2 linked regions of the Nothobranchius furzeri genome follow. The protein of the gene in region 2 interacts with the protein of the main gene of each other region in a pairwise test. Links are inferred from orthologs where the notes say so. Each region holds a gene or a part of one and is shown on either strand. Other genes may lie near its edges.

Region 1 (9,108 bases), on a different chromosome or scaffold from region 2:
GGTTTTGATGAGGTGAAGGGTTCTTGATAACCCTTTAATGCCAAACGTATAAAACATACTACCAGCTTTCATAGACCTTTATCTAACAGGATTAGTACATTCCTTCAGTTTTTGTGCCACTGGATTTTTTTCTCCTGTTTTCTTGCGGACGATGTACATTAAAGTATTCAGACCCCCATAAATGTTTCACAGTGTGGCAAGGTGGAGAAACGAGGGCCCGGGCGGGATGCGATCCCTAGACTCCCGGGTGCGAGTCATGCCCGCTAACCAGTCAGCCAAATATCCCTTTGGCGAAGTAGCCAGGGCACATGATCAATCGGGACCCTGTGACAGGACACTCACCCTGCCGCATCTCTTTTTATATTGCAAACATTTGGTAAAATCAATTAAATTCTTTATCCCTTCATTAATGTACACAGAGCACCCCATATTGAGAGAATAACTCAGAATTTTAGAGATTTCTGCAGGTTTATTAAAAAAGACAAACTGATACATCACATGGTCCTGAGTACTCAGACCCTTTGCTCGGTATTTAGTAGAAGTACCTTTTGAGCTAGTACAGCTATGAGTCTTCTTGGTAAAGATGCAACAAGTGTCTTACATCTAGATTTGGGGATCCTGTCATTCCTCCTGCAGATCCTCGCCAGTTCTGTCAGGTTGGATGGTGAACAGTGTGCCATTTTTAGGTCTCCAGAGAGGCTCAGTTGGGTTTAAGTCAGGGTTCTGGCTGGGCCTTTTAGTTGCTGTGAAGCCACCCCTTCGTTATTTTAGCTGTGTGTTTAGGGTCACTGTCATGTTGGAAGGTAAACCTTCAGCCCAGTCTGAGGTCCTGAGCACTCTGGAGAAGGTTCTGGTCCAGGATATACCTGTACTTGGCCGCATTCATCGTTTCCTCTATTGCAACCAGTCGTCCTGTCCCTGCAGCTGAAAAACACCCCCACAAAATGATGCTGCCACCGCCATGCTTCACTGTGGGGACTGTATTGGACAAGTGATGAGCAGTGCCAGGTTTTCTCCAAACATACCACTTAGAATTATGGCCATAAAGTTCTATCTTGGTCTAAGACCAGATAATCTTATTTCTCACCATCTCGGGGTCCTTCAGGTGTCTTTTAGCAAACTCAATGAGGATTTTTACGAGTCTTGCACTGAAGCGAGGCTTCCGACGGTCCCCTCTGCCGTAAAGCCCTGACTGGTGGAGGGCTGCAGTGACAATTTCTACAGCCTGCTTTAGGAAGCAAACATCTTCCATTTAATGATTATGGAGGCCACTGTACTCTTAGGAACCTTAAGAGCAGCAGAGATGTTTTGGTAACCATGGCCAGATCTGTGCCTCGCCACAATTCTGTCTCTGAGCTCTTCAGGCAGTTCCTTTGATCTCACGATTCTCATTTGCTCTGACATGCATCATGAGCTGTAAGGTTTTATATAGACAGATGTGTGTCTTTCTTAATCAAGTCCAGTTAGCATAATCAAACCCAGCTGGACTCCAATGAAGGTGTTGGACCATCACAAGTATGATCAGAAGAAATGGAAAGCACCTCACAGCAAAGGGTCTGAATACTAAAGACCATGAGATATTTCAGGTTTTCTTTTTCAATACATACATTTCTAAAATTCTGTGTTTTTCTGTCAATATGGGATGCCATGTGTACATTAATGAGGGGAAAAAAAGCAAATGGCTGCAATATAACAGTGAAAAAATGATGAGGGTCTGAATACTTTCCATACCCACTGTATGTATTGCATGAGATAAAAGTAAATCACATTTTATTACCCAACAAAAATATTTCACTTCTTATCACCTTGTGATAAATGGATCAGTCTTGTGAAAAATATGGGAATAAAAGCAGGTTTTATAGTGTATACCCAAACCAGGGGTCGTGTATGGTTAGGGGACTGTTTCAGCTTGGGCTACACAAATTAATGGCAGCATTAATACAAATGTGTAGTTGTGAGATCTACCTTTCCTCTCAGGTCTGGTTGGTGGTTCTTGACTCAGAGGTCTGGCTAAACCCTGATAATTGTTCCCAATCAAAATATGGGAAAAGGAAAAAAAAAACATTAAAGAAGTCAAGTTTCCATACTGTTCAACGTAGCCTAAGTAAATTTTAAAGAACAACGAGTTTTTCTGGACTATGTCCAGAGAAAATGATGCCGAACAGGAAGTCACTGATACAGCAGCCCTACCTTGTGTTGATTTGAAGCCAAGGAAATTTCCAAACGCTCTAGGTAATTGTAAGGAACAAGTCCTCTCTGTAATCGACATCATACTGGATAATAATCAATAGAACTTAAAAACATAAATTACTAATTCAGCCCATCCCTGATTTTAGTCCTACTCTTTCATTGAAGACCACGTAGGCCCAGTTGTCGTCACCCTTCTGCAGCACAAACACAATGTTTCCTGGCACAACAGCCAACTCATCACTGGTCTCAGGGTCAAACTCAAACAGCACGGTGTGTGGTTCTCCTTGTAGAGCTCTGTGGAGACGAGATGTCCACATGTCCTCGTGAGAAACAGAACAATTAGAATATGATGATTATATTTTATCTGCTGTTTGGTTTATCTATTTGGGACATGTTCACTTTCAGATCACAGCAAAAGAAAATCTAATACATGTTCAAACTGACCTCAAAACTTCTGGTTCTTTTGGAGAAGTTGGACCATCTTCGACCTAACAAAATACAGGACTTTCACTTTTAACCACCATTGCAAAAAGGCTTTATATTTCACATCGTAAAGAACTAATGTACATATGACGCTGCTCAGACTTCCCCTCGTCATGAGTGGATTTGATCTGCCCTGGTATATTAGAGGCTAATGAAACATTTATTTATCTTCTGAGGACTTTATTGGTCTCAGTTTGATTTGATTCCTCACCTGCGGTTGTAGCGGGGCAAACCCAGAGAACTCATCTTGTGGAACCACAGAGGAAACAACCTAATGTTTCGAAAAATACATTTTAAATGGAGTTTTATGCCGTTCTTCATCAATAATATATATCTGTAAATCTGAATAATCCACAATTAAAATGGATTATGTTAAAATCTGTGATTGTTGGTCTGGTTGTTATATGCATACCTTAGCTTTGCCCAGGTAGTCCTTTTTCTCCAGCTCAGCCACATAGTGCTTGTTTGGTCTAAACAGCATTTTCAAAGGGAATTCCACCGGTTTGAAAAGCTTTTGTTTCTGTCAGAAAAAAAAAACACATATTGAAAAGTATTACTTAAATTAATTTGAAAGATTTTGGGATTTTAGAAGATTCACTTACAGTGGGGCAAAAAAGTATTTAGTCAGCCACCGATTGTGCAAGTTCTCCCACTTAAAATGATGACAGAGGTCAGTAATTTTCATCATAGGTACACTTCAACTGTGAGAGACAGAATGTGAAAAAAAAATCTATGAATTCACATGGCAGGATTTTTAAAGAATTTATTTGTAAATCAGGGTGGAAAATAAGCATTTGGTCGCTTCAAACAAGGAAAATCTCTGGCTCTCACAGACCTGTAACGTCTTCTTTAAGAAGCTTTTCTGTCCTCCACTCGTTACCTGTATTAATGGCACCTGTTTGAACTCATTATCTGTATAAAAGACACCTGTCCACAGCCTCAAATAGTCAGACTCCAAACTCCACTATGGCCAATACCAAAGAGCTTTCGAAGGACACAAGGAAAAGAATCGTAGACCTGCACCAGACTGGGAAGAGTGAATCTACAATAGGCAAGCAGCTTGGTGTGAAAAAATCAACTGTGGGAGCAATTATCAGAAAACGGAAGACATACAAGACCACTGATAATCTCCCTCGATCTGGGGCTCCACGCAAGATCTCATCCCGTGGGGTCAAAATGATCATGAGAACGGTGAGCAAGAATCCCAGAACCACACGGGGGGGGGGGGGGGGGGGGGGACCTGGTGAATGACCTGCAGAGAGCTGGGACCACAGTAACAAAGGTCACCATCAGTAACACACTACAACGGCAGGGAATCAAATCCTGCAGTGCCAGACGTGTTCCGCTGCTGAAGCCATTGCATGTCCAGGCACGTCTGAAGTTTACCAGAGAGCACATGGATGATACAGCAGAGGATTGGGAGAATGTCATGTGGTCAGATGAAACCAAAGTAGAACTTTTTGGTATAAACTCAACTCGCCGTGTTTGGAGGAAGAAGAATACTGAGTTGCATCCCAAGAACACCATTCCTACTGTGAAGCATGGGGGTGGGAACATCATGCTTTGGGGCTGTTTTTCTGCTAAGGGGACAGGACGACTGATCCGTGTTAAGGACAGAATGAATGGGGCCATGTATCGTGAGATTCTGAGACAAAACCTCCTTCCATCAGTGAGAGCTTTGAAGATGAAACGTGGCTGGGTCTTCCAACACGACAATGATCCCAAACACACCGCCCGGGCAACAAAGGAGTGGCTCCGTAAGAAGCATTTGAAAGTCCTGGAGTGGCCTAGCCAGTCTCCAGACCTCAACCCCATAGAAAATCTGTGGAGGGAGTTGAAAGTCCGTGTTGCTCGGCGACAGCCCCAAAACATCACTGCTCTCGAGAAGATCTGCATGGAGGAATGGGCCAAAATACCAGCTACTGTGTGTGCAAACCTGGTAAAGACCTATAGTAATCGTTTGACCTCTGTTATTGCCAACAAAGGTTATGTTACAAAGTATTGAGTTGAATTTTTGTTATTGACCAAATATTTATTTTCCACCCTGATTTACAAATAAATTATTTTAAAATCCTGCCATGAGAATTCATGGATTTTTTTTCACATTCTGTCTCTCACAGGTGAAGTGTACCTATGATGAAAATTACTGACCTCTGTCATCATTTTAAGTGGGAGAACTTGCACAATCGGTGGCTGACTAAATACTTTTTTGCCCCACTGTATCTTCTTCCTTCCAAAACCCAAATAGCCAACACCTATGCTGATAAAATGTTGATTTCTAAACATATGTGGATGTGTGTAATTGAATTATATTAATGAAGTGTAACCGTATTTTATGAGAGGATGATCGTAACTGACCAGGGTTGACTGCAGAGCCCTGTCGATGAGGCTGAGCTTGGCATCTGTCTTGTAGTCCAGTGCCTTGACCAGGTTTTCCTGGGCCTTTTCCCAGCTACCCAGCTTAGCTTCAGCCAGGGCAAGATTGTGGAGAACCTGAAGCAGGAGGTGTCGACGTGACACTGAGTTAGGAGCTTTTCAGTCACACCGTCTTATCAGGTTTATTTGAAGCCCTCATATTGAAAACTGAATTAGGAAGAGCTGAGGCTTCAACGGTTTCCTCTTTGCAAGAATATATAAATCACATTGAAAATGAGGAATTACCATCATCAGCCAGCTTTATTTTAACCTCAGATTTCTGACGGACAGTAGAGCTAAAGCTCACCTCACAGGCATATAGGATGTATCTGAGACCTAGTGCTTTGTAATCGATCAGCTGGTTACCCCTCAGAGCTTTAAAGGCTCTCTGGAAATCAGCTGAACTCTCCTCATACCTGTGACCAAGACAAGTAAAGGTAATAATTATTACACATAAGGCAAGTTTTATAAAACATTTGATGTAATTTACCTTTTCTTTTTGTAAAATGTCATTCCCCTCTGAAAGAAGGCAACTGCCAAATGCTCATCCTTGCGAATGCTGCAGTCAAACGCCTGAGAAATAACAGGTAAGAAAATAACTTCCTCTAAAGGAGCAGAAAGCCGGTGACACCACTTCTTCTTTCACTGTGACTTGCACTTTCAGAAACCTCTATAGGGAGCCTAAGTCACGTCCTTCCGGACCATGGGTCCTCAGCTGCCAAGAAAATTGAAATTGAATATTTTCTGATCCTGTTTGATCTGTTCAGGGGACCCGTGAGCCAACCGGAGGGCTCCTTATATCTGACACGTTTCATCTCAGCCTTGCCAAATAAATCCAGATGATTTTACTTTCTTACGTGCACAGACTTGCAGATTTGATTTAAAATAAAGTAGATCTAACGTACCTTTTCAGCATCATCCAAGTCTTGGTTCAGAAGATGAAGGCAACCAATGTCAAAGTAAATTTTGGAATTTGGTTCTTGAATGGATAAGAAAATGCAGAGGGCTTCTGACCATTCCTGTCTGTCGGCACAAGTTACAGCTTTGTCCCACTGCCGCAGAGTGTCCACATAAGACATGTTTGTTGGCTTACCAGCACACTGATTCTACATTGAGGAAGTTCTTCTTATTTGTACCAGTGAAACTGGGAAGTGTGATGACAGCTGTTACGATTTACAAATGCATCACAATCAGCTCTAAGTGCTAAAGCCACATTTAAATTATTTTCTCCCGTTCAGTGCAATAATTGCACTCTAACTTACTGCTGATGTACCAAACAATTTGCACATTGTGTCCAGGAAATATGTATATTTTTATATCTACTTTTTCAGATGGTCTTGTGTTTATTTTTTATCTGGTATGTCAAATGCTCTATTTGAGTTCCATCAATATTAGCCTACAGTTAACAAAAGCTTTATGATTTAGATTCTAGAGATTTTCTATCTTTGAATAAATTGTGGGTTTAAATGTGTGTGTGTGTGTGTGTGTGTGTGTGTGTGTGTGTGTGTGTGTGTGTGTGTGTGTGTGTGTGTGTTTAGCTCTAAACTAACGTTGGCATTTTATAAGCAGAAAAGCTTGAGATGCATAATGAAAAATGTTTCACATCTAATTGATTTCTAGTATTTTTTAAATAATTATTTTTTAACTTTATTTTGTAAATTTACAAACAAACATGGCACTTTGACAATGTTAAATCCAAAACTCAAATTGATTTCCAGTGTTGTAACGACCTTAACTTTGATGACATTCAGACATTTTTACTGAAATAAGTAATGTTCAGATTATTGTTTGTTCTTCTTTAATAATTCTAAATTTATTGAGCTGCAATATTTATTTAGTAAATATATGATGTGTTTTTGTGCCAAATGCACAAAAACAACTTCCGGGTTTTTCCTTTCAAAATAAATTTCTTGTGACATGACTATAATCACAAAATACTGGTGCGTTTTCTTACAACACTAACATCATATTATAAATGTGTATTTATATATTCTCAAGGAATTCAACGATTTCGCCTTTCAATAATAACGTATCTTCTTTACTTGAATGTATAAAATGCTCTTATTTTGATAGAGTAAAAACGTTTATCCGTTAGCTCATCGCTAGCTAAACAAACATGGCTCTACTACACTTTCGGAGTACGAACCTTTATGATGCGTAGAACAAATGAAAATTGGAGCTATGTAAGGATTAACAAGAAATAAGTCATGTTTGGTATGACTGTTTAGATTAAGTTGCTATATTATTTGTGTTGGTAGCTCGGAGCACCCTTTTGTGTCCGTATTTACACACAGCTAGCTCCAGAGTTGGCTAATGTGAGCTAACAAGATGGACCTTGGAACAATGTTGTACAATAATTTGAAAGATGTTACTTGGAGCTCAACGTCTTTACCTTTGGATCAGCTTGTCAGTGCATATAAAATGCCCCAAATCGTCAAACTGGACAGCGGTTAGTAACTTTGTTATTATGCATTTAAAGCAGTCATCTTTGCGCTAAACATCAACAAACTGTTAAGTTGGTGTTTATATATATATATATATATATATATATATATATATATATATATATATATATATATATATATATATATATATATATATATATATATATATATATATATATATGTATGTCTTAATGATGCTTACATTCTCAAGCATTTTGTAGCCAAAGTGCTGCATCTGCTTGACAGACTACATTATTGTACCACAGCAACTTTTTATTATTGAATGCTTTCATGCATCCTCACATCACAACAAAACATCTTGATTTATGGTCAGCACTGATCCGCTTCTCAAGACTGCATTTATGTCACTCTAGACTATCTGAAGCATTGAAACTGTCAAAATGAATAATTAAACAGATGTATCAGCCACAGTCACATTTAGTTGTCTATTAAATAGATATCTTTATTTTAAACTCTACCAAACTGCCTTGTTGCTGTATTATAATGTTCAGAAATCTGTAAGATAACCGAAAATCTTTTTATTTTATTTTATCAAATGTCATTCTAATCACAGCCAATAAGTAAAAAGTTTCCTATATAAGGAACCCAGCAGGTTGCATCGAGTCACTGACTAGTGTCAGAGTCTTTACAGCAATCCTCATACTAAGCAAGCATTTAGCGACAGTGGAGAGGGAAACTCCATTTTAACAGGAATAAACTCCAGAGGATCCTGGCTCAGTATAAGCAGCCATGTAAATTTGTTACTGACTCCTGCAGGTGCGCAGATATTTTACATGTTATGCACAGAGAACATCGCAGAGGTAATCAAGATTTCTATCAGTGCATCTGAGCATAATCTCACACTTTCTCCTTATCTTGCTGCTGACAGTGTGCCCAAGTAGTGCGCTGAAGGGAGCTCAGAGAGCGTCTGGCGCACTCGACATCGTGCACAATAGCGCAGTGTTGAGTGGAAACCCTTCTATCTTTCCGAGAGTCTGGTATACTTCTGTTTATGTGTCATTAAATAATTAGATTTTTAAACTTTGGCTTAAATAGTGCTTGTTATCCAGCAATTGCCTTGAATCCAGCGTGTCAGCGGACCGCAGATTCATCCATAACAACATTTAAACATCCACAAGTCTGTCTGAAACAAAAGCCCAGAACCTCATAACCTCTTCAGCAAACTCCCTAGAGACATTTGATTACGCACAAGCTGGAGGTGACCTGTTAATGTTTACGTACAGGCCAATGCAGGTAAAATGTTCCTAATTTAAGTGAATTGTTTAATTGCATGTTTTATATGTTACAGGGGCACTCTGCTCAGCTTGTTTGGACTAAATATTAATTTTAAATGAATTAAAATTTAACGGTATTGAAGGATGAATGGATGATGCAACCTCTGGCTGTGAGCAAGTGCTCCCTCCTTGAGTGCATCCAAATGCAGCAGCGATTCATTTCATTTCCTACTCACACTCATAAAAGAAAGAACCAGGTAGCCTATGTTCAGAAAAAAAAAACATTTTGTTTAACCCTCCCACTGTCCTAATGGGTGTGACTCCGCAAGGAAAGTTGACCA
Region 2 (10,464 bases):
TACGCGTGTCTTTGATGATGACGTCCCGTGTGGCTTGGTGAAACACCATCTGATAAAAGACGTAGACGATCTGACACACAAACTCGTCATCTTCTTGGCGCGCTGCATAAAGGACAGGACATGTGGAGTGAGAGTTGATAATAATCCAGGGAAAATGTCCTAATCTGGTTTTCTTTTTTATTTTTACCATTCAGTAGTTCAATAAGGGCAGGAATGATGCCAGATTTAGCCAACATGACAGCGCAGGCGTCATCCATGGAAACTGTTCCAATCATTATGACCACCTCCAGTATGAGGTCATCCTCTGCCGAGTCTGAAATATGAACAGAGAGGCTTTCTGGCAAACTGAGACAACGGGTAATTTCTTCTAATTCTGTCTTCTGAATGATTTAACTGATACCTGGTTTGAGATTGTCTTTGAGGAAAGGCACCAGGTTATATTCTTTCAGCAGCAGCTCCCAGTCCAGGTCAGGAATGGTGAGGTTGGCCAACGTTCCCAGACACTCCAGGATCCACACCTCCCCTTCTACAGCACGGATCTCTGCAGCCAGATCTCCCACATAGTCCTAGTGAAGATTACTCAGATCATCAGACAAAACAATCCTTCTGTGAAGCACGAGTGATGCTTTAGTTTGTCAAAATGACAAATTACTGTGTGTCTCACAACGTACTATAAACAGCGGCTTGGTTGGACCATCATGCTGTGAGATGTTTCTGATCATCTTCATCAGAAGGCAGTCTTTAGTCTTCAGAGCTCGCTTCATGAGCATCTTCAGTCCATTTCCTAAAACCGGAAAGGCACCAAGCAAAAGCTGTTCAGTTCAAATACAGATTTAGCCCTGAAACATCAAAAAACCAAATACCTTCACACATGAGCTGTGCGTTCTTCTTGTTAGCAGACAGGTTGATGCAGATGGAGATGAGTTCCACATCAATTTCCTCCTCGCCGTGGTCGTAGAGCATTTGCATGAGCTGGTTCCAGACACAAACACAGATTTGGCTCATCCTCTGGAACGCTCAGTCACTATGAATGGAAGTGGATCGTGGCGTACCTGAGGGATGCAGTCGGTGTAAACGAACATGCCTCTGAAGCGGTCGTCCATGCTGATGTGGTACAGGAGGCGCATGGCTACCTGTCGGTTATTCTCATCACCTGCATCGTAACAAACGTGTTCGAATATTCATACACTTACTACAATAATAATAATGATAATAATAATAATAATAATAATACATTTTATTTAAAAGCGCCTTTCAGGACACCCAAGGTCACTTTACAGAAAACACATGATAAAATACAATAAAACAATAATAAAACCCAAACAAGAAAAAACAAAGAGAGAAACAGTTCAAGGTTGTAGGCAGATTTAAACATGTGTGTTTTGAGTTTTGATTGGAAAAGGGTAAAACTGTCGATGTTCCTGATGTCTGGGGGAAGTGAGTTCCAGAGACGGGGAGCAGAGCGGCTGAAAGCTCTGCTCCCCGTCTCTGGAACTCATGGTAGCGAGACGGGCAGAAGGAACCGCAAGATGGATGGAAGAAGAAGATCTGAGTGAACGGGATGGGGTGTGAATACTTATAAGGTCTACAACGTAGTTCCTGTCAGACAGTGGGTTTGACTTCTGTCTCATTTCCGTCATTTACTCAGGAAGCTGTGAAGAATCTGTGTTTAACGTTACCCAACAACGCTGTCAGTTTGGGCACCAGCCCGACTTCCACCATCTTGGCTCGAAGTCCGGAGTCAAACGAGAGGTTGAGCAGCAGACGTAGAGTCAGATTCAACAAATCATCGTGTTCACAGGGAATCAGACGAGCCAGTCGCTCCACGGTGTCCAGCTCAGCCTGCGTGCCACACACACGGTCACATCAGAGCTGGACTAATGACAAAGCTTGCTGACTTCTTGTTAAAACAGGCAAAAGTAGTTAGTGTAGAACAACTAAGCCCTCCTGCTCACCATGTCGTTCTTATTCTCCAGGAAGATCGACAGCTTTTTGAGGAAGGAAACCACCAGAACCAGCAGCTCCTCATCATCACGGTCAAGAACTTTGACCAGCAGTCCAACAATGTTTTTGTTCCTCATCTTCAGCTCTGTCCTGGTGTCCTCAGCGAGGTTCAACAGCAGGTAGAGAGAAACTAAAAGGAAAAAAAAATGAACATAACCAAATAAATTCTATTTATAAGAGGTTTTAATCCCATGAAAATTTAAAAGGAAAAATCCTGTTTCACCTCTGAGCAGCTGCTCCTGCTTAGCCAGAAGGGCTTGGTATTTTCTCAGCGTTTTGTCCTGGTCTCGTCTTAAGGAGCCATTTTCTGGCGCAGACTCACGTGCACAAAAGATAGTCAAGGGCAACAGAAACAATACAGAAGACCTCAAAAAAATCGATCATCTTAAATTAAATGGACAAAATGATAGCAGAAAATGGATATAAGCTTTGTTTTTCTTGCGTAGCTCCTCACGCCACATGTCATGCCTCTTCAGTTCATGTTCCACCACACTCATACAAAGCGCTCCGATTTTATAGTGACTCACTGCAGCGTGAAACTGGGAGAAACTGGAGGAAGGGATGTGAAAGGATGAATCATTTAGAAGTACTGAAGGACCATCACGCCAGCTGTGCATCAGGGTTACCTTGAAAAGCAGAAGAAGATGTAAATGATAATAGTAGCAAGCTCTACGCTCTGTTTCCAGTCCTCTCTCAGAACCCGGGCCAGCGCACCTAAAGCTGCTTCTGTAGACACAAACAGGGAGAAATTCACGCTAAACAACTAGAGGATGGCTGCGTAAGCATGTTGGAAGGAACATGTACCGTTGTAAAGCAGCTCCTCCAGGTTATCTGGGTTACGGGCGAGCTGCAAAATGAGACCAGAGCCTCGGATCTTCTCTGGGAGGCCTTCATAAAGCAGCTCAACATACTCATCCATCTTTGTTATGCTAGCTTCCTCGTTCAACTACACACGAAAAATAAATAAAACAACAAAGAAAGAAACACACACTGTTACACCTAACACAACGAATGAGGAATGAAACGAGTACTTAACATCATTACCTCCGTTCCCTCAAATGGTGTCAGATCTTTAGGCTTCACTGTTTTCTTCTCTTTCTTTTCCACTAAAGGCAAACAAGAAAAGCAGTGAATGTTTTACATCCTGCTTCTTAATGTCACTGTGCAGTTAGTCCCTCTCATACTTTATTGGTGTGTTTGAACAATAAATCAGAGCTAACAGGTAAAAGCTTCTAAACGTACCCCCTTTGGCCTCCACTGGGGAGGATTTCCTGTTCTGTAGGTAATAAAGCAGCTGCTCCACCTGTGGCAAGCGGGAGGCGGGGATGAGTTTACACTCCTCTACCACTTTCCTGGCCAAAGCGGCCACATCTGTAGTAGGAGAGAGGCTTTTCACGCGGATTCTGAAGGGGAAAGGAGAAGGATGACACATAACATGTTACATAAACCAGCAAAAACTGCCATTAACTGGTTATTTCTAATAAGATAAAGAACAGGGGCAGATGCTGTCAACGATAAATTAGGAGCTTACTCACATTTTTTGTCCCTCCTTGCGTTCACCCAGCATCGGACCTCCATTCTCCCCCAGGATGGATGCCTCCACCTCATACTGGACCACAAGGGCTTTCTCAGTGGGATGGACATCCAAACTGCCTGCAGTCACTTTTCTATGAATGATAATAAACAGTTTACGCCTGTGGTTTTAGTTTCCAAAGTAAATCTGAGTTAAATACAATTATTTCCATAATGCAATTTAAAGAGCAAGTCACCCCCTACAAGAAACTTACTTCACTCCCTCTTCATGTTTGAAAAATGCAACAAATGCTGTTGCCTAGCAGACCGAGAGGGCGGAGCCACTAACAAATACACACACACAGGCTCACAATGGCATTGTGACATCATAATAGACCAGTTTACATCATAGCATACCTCTTAGCCAATAGCGGTGGCAGATTTAAATTCAAATGCAGTGCAGAGTTTTTACCTGACAACAGCGCAACACTGACAGTTTTAGGCAGAATATTTAAATTTTAACTAAGATGCACTGAAGTATCAAATTATTGACGACACGTGTCTGCAGCACAGTTAGTTACACATTTATATAGTTTATCAGCAAGAAAAAGTTGATTTGGGGGTGACTTGCTCTTTAATGTTGAATGCAGTAATAAGCTCTTGGCAGTGACAGCTATTTTTATTATATGTGTTCCTGGATCAAAAGCAGTAGGACACGCCCATGCACAAACATAACAAAGACTGCTTTTATTTAAAAAAAAAGCTAAACCTCGTCAGCTACAACACTGAATCAAATGTCCCGTGATAAACCTAGTTAGTATGATTTATTATCCGGCTACATTGTTTTTATGTTTAACAGAATCTTCAGGGTTAGCAGGAGCCCAGATTTCCCAGCATTCCTTCCTCTCTGGAGCAGTTCCACTGATTATTACAGTTAACAGGAGGATTGCGACTGAAACGTTTCTTCCAGAAACAGATGCAAGAAAAAGCACATGATACTAAAATCCTGTTGTTGGTCTCTCGTTCTGATGAGCTAAACGCTAACGAAGCAGGGGGCGGTGATTGTAGAAATGCTTTTCAGGAATAGTGTATCTTATAGGTGACAGCTGTGTGAAATTCGTTTATGCCGAATGATTTCGTGGCTCGGGATAGTTAATAATTGCCTATATTCGAAATAAACAGGAATGGTCCAATCTTCAGTCCAGCGTCGGAACCTTAAATTCCCCTAAATTTTAAACAAGACATCGGGTTCAACCTCCAAGCATACAGCTGCACACTAAAACTAGGACGAATTCAAATTAAAACAATAATTAAAACACTCTTACGTCTCACCCAGAGATTATTACTTGTCATCCCTAAAATTATATCAACATGGCTAATTTCAACGGCCAGTACGGTTCTAGCCGCACCTTTCAACTCACCGTTTGAGGTACCGCGCGTCATCCTGCATTTTCTTCCGATTTATGGCTTCAAATTTTTAATTTAACAATTTAAGATCACCTGAAGGATCTCCTGGACAAATAACAACCATTCGAGTCTTTTATTTATCCTCTAAAGACCGCTGAACCTCAAGGTATTCTTTTTCTACTTAACAGGCAGCCTTTAGAGAACACTACTGCCCCCTAGTGGACTGGTTATAGAAATATATGATTCCAACTCTAATGATGTAATTAAGTATTTATTAATTTAAAAAAAAATAAGAAAAATTTGGCTAGAAATATATAATAACTTTACTTTTTACACTTTCATATTTTGTGTGTGTCTTTTTGGGGATAAAAGGTTTAATCTAATATTTACTCCTTATCCTATGTTGCTATTTTGTGCATATTGTTTTGGGGTCAGATTTTTTATTCCTTTAATGCCTCTATGAACTGGGATGCACATTAAGCTTCCAGCTGTCACTCTGAGAGGAGCTTAAAATTTGTTTTGTCTAAAACCTGGACTATATTTGACTTGTTTTGAGATGGCAAAACACGGATGCTGATAAAAATGCTAAATAAACCAGAACATTTAGAACGCTTTGTTCTCACTTCAGAGCCACTCGGATTTAATGTATAAATATTATCAGTGCTTCCTAAATTACTATTACTTTTTTCATTTAACCACCTCTATACTGAGAGGATGTAATACTTGGTAGTGCACAGCAGAATTTATTATTTTTCCACATAAATAATTTCCACGTTCCCAAAAGACATCAGTTATCTTTTCCCTCTCGACAGTAAAGTCCTCCTGGTTCCTCTGTGCCTTTATAATCACTCTGAGAGCAGAAAGGTCAATTTCCACATGAGTCTCATGACTTTAATTTAGCTTAAACCACATATTCACATCACGTAATGCAAACCATTACACAAGCCTTTTAGTTAGAGGAATTATATTTTCATGGTAGCAGCAGCATAATGTTCCATATGTTGCATCTTCCTAATCTGGAATTAATGCACATGGAAATAACTTCCTGTTTTCCATTTCAACAGACAGAAAGAGTTCGAATAAATATCTTTTATTGGAGTGCAATGATACAAGTTTCTGCAAAGCAGGGTTTCTGTACGGACTTCCTCACGCCTACATTCTAAGGCATCAGCATGAGTATTGTTGACTGTTGGGTGCTCGTTCTTTAATTTGCGTGCATGTGACCTGATTGAAACACGTTTTATGACATTCTCTGTCTTTCTTCATCTTCTACTCCACGTCTGCTCCATCGTCTTCATCATCCGCACACGCAGTGAACTCCTTCTCTGGTAAGAGGCCGTATTCATTGAGAAACGCCTCCACATCTGTGGCAAAGAACTCTTCATTGAGGTGTTTGGTGACAGCCAGGAAGTTACCCAGTAACTCCCCGGCCTTGTAGACCAGCAGGGTCGGGAGAACCTGAGATGATTGAAACAATAATCAGATTGTTTCAGAAGACAATTATTTATCAGTGACAGTACCAATACATTCTAATGTCTCGGTTTTTAAATGTATTTTTAATGAATATTGATAATTAATATGTAGTTTTAGGCTGCAGAAACACCAAACTAACCAATCTAAATAAAAATTCTAAGTTTTATTAGAATTTCAGGTATTTTTAAAGCCTGCTGCTGTTGTATTTTCAGGTTTTGTGCAGGACACAGCTTCTCTGTTATTACAAGTTTTTAATTTTATTTAATGGACAGAAAGCACGTGAATTGGTCATGATCTAATTTTAAATTCAGAGTTGATTTCTCTTTAGAAAAGGCCAATCTTGGTCTGTTTGTTTATTGTGTTTGCAGTCCTACAGGAAGGGATATTGAAACGTTCATGGCAAGTTCTCTCCAACAGCAAAACCATAAAACTCAGATCTCTTTCTTCTGGGATTTAAAAAGCAAACTCATTTTAGATCAAGTCCACTGCAAAGCTCTTGGGCTTCGAAAATGTTTATTCTTACTAAAACGATACAGCTAAAACCTAGAACACTTTAGTAATGTCAATCTATTCTCAAAATTACGGTCAACTAAAGTATTCATTTTTATTCTTTGTTTTTATTTTGTAATGCACAAACCTCAGAGGAGAAGCGCTCTGCAGCACCTGACGCCACAGCATCAATACGACAAAACTTAACAGTGGGGTACTCCGCTGCCAGGCACTCCAGACTCGAGTTCATCTGCTCACAGCCTGATAGAGGACGGACAAGTAAATGAGGTTAGGAGGCAGGGACATGTAGCACTGTCACAGGAAAGAGGAGCCCGACCGTTGACCCCATGCTGATAAATGTGGACCACCACCAGGGTCATCCGATGCTCCCTCTCTATCACTTCCAGGAAGGCCTCTCCACTCTCCAGCTCGTGGACACATTCAAACCTGGGACCGAAGCTCAGACGCTCATGCATTTCCTGCATGCACTGCTTTCTGTAGCGTTTCAGGCAGCGCTCATCCTCGTCTTTGATCAGTTCGTACTCCTGAGCGCCCATCTGAATACAGGAAGTACAGCTCTTCTCAGGAATCTGAGCAGATTATTAAATCTGGTTTCCTGCGCGTCCTTTCTCACCTTTCTGTTAGCTCTCTCCTTGTCGTCCTCCCGAGGATTGGACATCTGTCTGAGCAGCTCTTTCTTTTTTTGAGGGACTGTCTGGTCCACACTGTCCAGTTTGAACCTTCTCCAGTCATTAATAACACCCTTTGGACCTGGACACAGCAGAGATATCTGTTAGAGGTATTTGACCATTAAAAATATATTCATGCTTTCATTTACTGAAATGTATTTTTAAATGAGTGGGCAAGATAAATTAATATTTCTACATTGAGCTGTGATACATAACAATAGCAAGCTAAATAGTTATTTTAGTATCTCCAACCTGTGTGATTTAACGGCAGCTCCTCCTCTTCCTGTGTAGCAGCAGACATCCTAGCAGGTGAAATGACATTATTTAAATGTGAAATCTAGTCAAGATCAACTATTCTTTACAGAATTTGACAATTCAATAGTCATTCTTCATCACATGTAAACCTCTTAAAAGTACAAATCATTCAATAATCTATCAATTATATCACAAGGGTTCTGAAACGCAGAACTGGCCCATATTTGAGTAAAGAATTGGCCTCACTCAAACTTAAATTTTAATGCTGGATGCTGAGCTTGTTAAGATGATGACTCTAATTGTGTTTTATTGTGTACTTTGTATGGTTACACGTCTAAATCTAAAGTGTTCCTTATGTTTGCATAATTACTCAGTTGTCAGAAACACTTACAGCCAATCAGGCTAAAGTTTACTTATCAGATTAGTCTGAGATTATGGTTAGTCTGACATGCACACACGCTGAGCACATCTTATATGTGTACATGTGTGTGTTGTGACACACATGTATGAAAAAGCTAATGTATCATTTTGTTATCAATCACATTTTACTTTTGTGTTTGGATGTTGTTTTTTCTTGACATGGAGAATATCAGCCTTCAATATTTTGACTAACATTTAAATTTGCCCTTATATTGCTACAACATTTTTAAACAATAAATTTTATATTTGAGGTTTGAAAAAATGAGAATTAAAATGAAATATGAATTAAATGTGAAATGGTACACTGTTCTCTGGACTCATAGTCTTCATCGAAAGATGCTGAGGTGATGATGACAGTGGGGTCCTGATTAAAGTCACATCACTCAAACAACCGATCAAGCTTATGAGTCAGAAGAAGCTAATTCTTTCTTGTTACCAAACCAATGCATAGCTGCATTTTCTTTATTCTAACATACCACCTTTCTATAAATAAACATGCACCCTGGCAGGCGATGTTTTTTAACACTAAATCTTCTGACTAGAAGGAGCATAGCACCGTTTTTCTAATAAGATAACAACAATTGAAATAAATCTCTAAATAAGTTTTCTTTATTTTACTTTAGCATGAAAAAATAACCCTATTACTCTTTTTCTGAAACAGGAACAAGCACGGTTAGGCTAAAATACTTACATTTGATATAAGATGTACAATTGCTGTCTAAATAAAAGAGTTTTTACCTTTGTGGCTGAGATGAGAAGTGTTGTCAGGTTTTAGTAACGTGTAAAAACGTATCTCCTGCCTGTCTGGGCATCCACTGACTGGAAAACCTGCAGCAAAGAGGCGTACATACGTTTGGAAAGGGGTGGGGGTGGCAATGAGATGAGGGTGTAAGCTTTATCTCAGGCGTCATCTTCACTGCCACTGGAATGTGATGTTGTTTCATACAAGCTGTTGACCAACTGTGTGTGTTAAAAGCAAAGGTTTTTAAAATTGTTCTTTAAATTCCAAGAGAAAATAAATATTAAAACAACACAAAGTCGTAATCCCCAAAAAGTATCATCAACTAAGTTTTGAAGAATCAAGAAAAAAAAAAAACTCGCTGTTTTGGCATTTTTTATGTTCTGTTTTTTCAGTCGTCCTTTTCAAATTCACATGCATGTTAAATATACGATCATGGACCCTTTCACGAGAGTATTAGAGGCTGTCAGCGAAACTATTAGTTGGATTTAGTCAAGATATTCAGTATGGTGATGGAGAAGTGGTTATAGTTTTAATGTAATAATGAAAAGATGACATAAAAATAACCGTTTCTCACAAGGAGAAAACTACTCGTCCCTGGGTGGGCTCGAACCACCAACCTTTCGGTTAACAGCCGAACGCGCTAACCGATTGCGCCACAGAGACAACTGCGCACAACCCTCACAAATACTTATAATAAGAAAGTACTAAAGAAAGCTTTGCTTTCAGTTCTGTGAGGAAAACATTTATTGAAAGCTCACTACATAGAAACCTTTCCACTGATACAATCTTTATAAACACATTTTTCTCTTATAAGTAAATTTTAAACACAAACTTTTGAAGCCGTTTATCAGCGTGTTCAGAGACTGACTTTCTGGAAGTTAAATTAAAAAAAAATTTTTAATCTTTTTTTTTTACTTTCTGGAAGTAAGCATTTACTTCCTGACGGCCTGGCAGTCGTTTCCAAAATGGAGGCTGGCTTGACTGCTGTCCGTTACGATTGTATACACTATTTAAATTACACGGCCTACTTCAAAGCTACACAGAAACATGTCACTCGTTACAAAATGAAACGAACTATAATTAACACTCACTGTACAAAACCGCTATTATAATTATTTAAGTACCAAATGCAGTTATCAACATCGCATAGCAGAATGGCGCAGCGGAAGCGTGCTGGGCCCATAACCCAGAGGTCGATGGATCGAAACCATCCTCTGCTAATTATTATTTTTCATCATTTATTTGTTTTTTCTTTCCTTTATTTGCATCAAGCTAAACATATGATCTTAACACGGAAAGTGAAGAAACGAGCAAACCTTAGAGTTCAGTTAACTGAAATAATCTGCTTAGATGTTCTTTCTTTAAAAGAAATTAATGGTTCAATTGTTTTTAATCAAAATAGTTTAATTGTAATTAACGAGTGAAGAACAGTGAAAATGCTGTATGAAAATGGTGTATGAAAATGGTGTAGGA

The links.
Region 1: the proteins of kinesin-associated protein 3 (region 2) and ncf2 interact in binary tests that used the Homo sapiens proteins (3 or more experiments, as listed by UniProt). The two-hybrid records come from large-scale screens. The link is inferred for Nothobranchius furzeri from reciprocal best matches to the Homo sapiens genes KIFAP3 and NCF2.

Annotation. Positions count from the first base shown.
Region 1 is NC_091747.1:36,772,424-36,781,531, forward strand, and holds the start of ncf2 (neutrophil cytosol factor 2), read right to left. Parts: upstream 6,190-9,108; 5' UTR 6,168-6,189; coding exon 5,994-6,167; intron 5,662-5,993; coding exon 5,579-5,661; intron 5,505-5,578; coding exon 5,396-5,504; intron 5,167-5,395; coding exon 5,032-5,166; intron 3,194-5,031; coding exon 3,086-3,193; intron 2,945-3,085; coding exon 2,885-2,944; intron 2,679-2,884; coding exon 2,635-2,678; intron 2,485-2,634; coding exon 2,343-2,484; intron 2,257-2,342; coding exon 2,191-2,256; intron 2,036-2,190; coding exon 1,966-2,035; intron 1-1,965. Other genes in the region: garem (GRB2-associated and regulator of MAPK protein 1), read left to right, coding at 7,417-7,537. UniProt on the Homo sapiens protein: Subunit of the phagocyte NADPH oxidase complex that mediates the transfer of electrons from cytosolic NADPH to O2 to produce the superoxide anion (O2(-)).
Region 2 is NC_091751.1:58,723,790-58,734,253, reverse strand, and holds the start of kinesin-associated protein 3, read right to left. Parts: upstream 5,100-10,464; 5' UTR 4,967-5,099; coding exon 4,938-4,966; intron 3,672-4,937; coding exon 3,540-3,671; intron 3,408-3,539; coding exon 3,247-3,407; intron 3,111-3,246; coding exon 3,049-3,110; intron 2,951-3,048; coding exon 2,809-2,950; intron 2,731-2,808; coding exon 2,631-2,730; intron 2,554-2,630; coding exon 2,429-2,553; intron 2,327-2,428; coding exon 2,228-2,326; intron 2,135-2,227; coding exon 1,956-2,134; intron 1,843-1,955; coding exon 1,680-1,842; intron 1,154-1,679; coding exon 1,053-1,153; intron 973-1,052; coding exon 864-972; intron 785-863; coding exon 672-784; intron 567-671; coding exon 401-566; intron 314-400; coding exon 188-313; intron 103-187; coding exon 4-102; intron 1-3. Other genes in the region: pdca (phosducin a), read right to left, coding at 6,193-6,381, 7,034-7,146, 7,223-7,442, 7,520-7,656, 7,827-7,875. UniProt on the Homo sapiens protein: Involved in tethering the chromosomes to the spindle pole and in chromosome movement. Binds to the tail domain of the KIF3A/KIF3B heterodimer to form a heterotrimeric KIF3 complex and may regulate the membrane binding of this complex.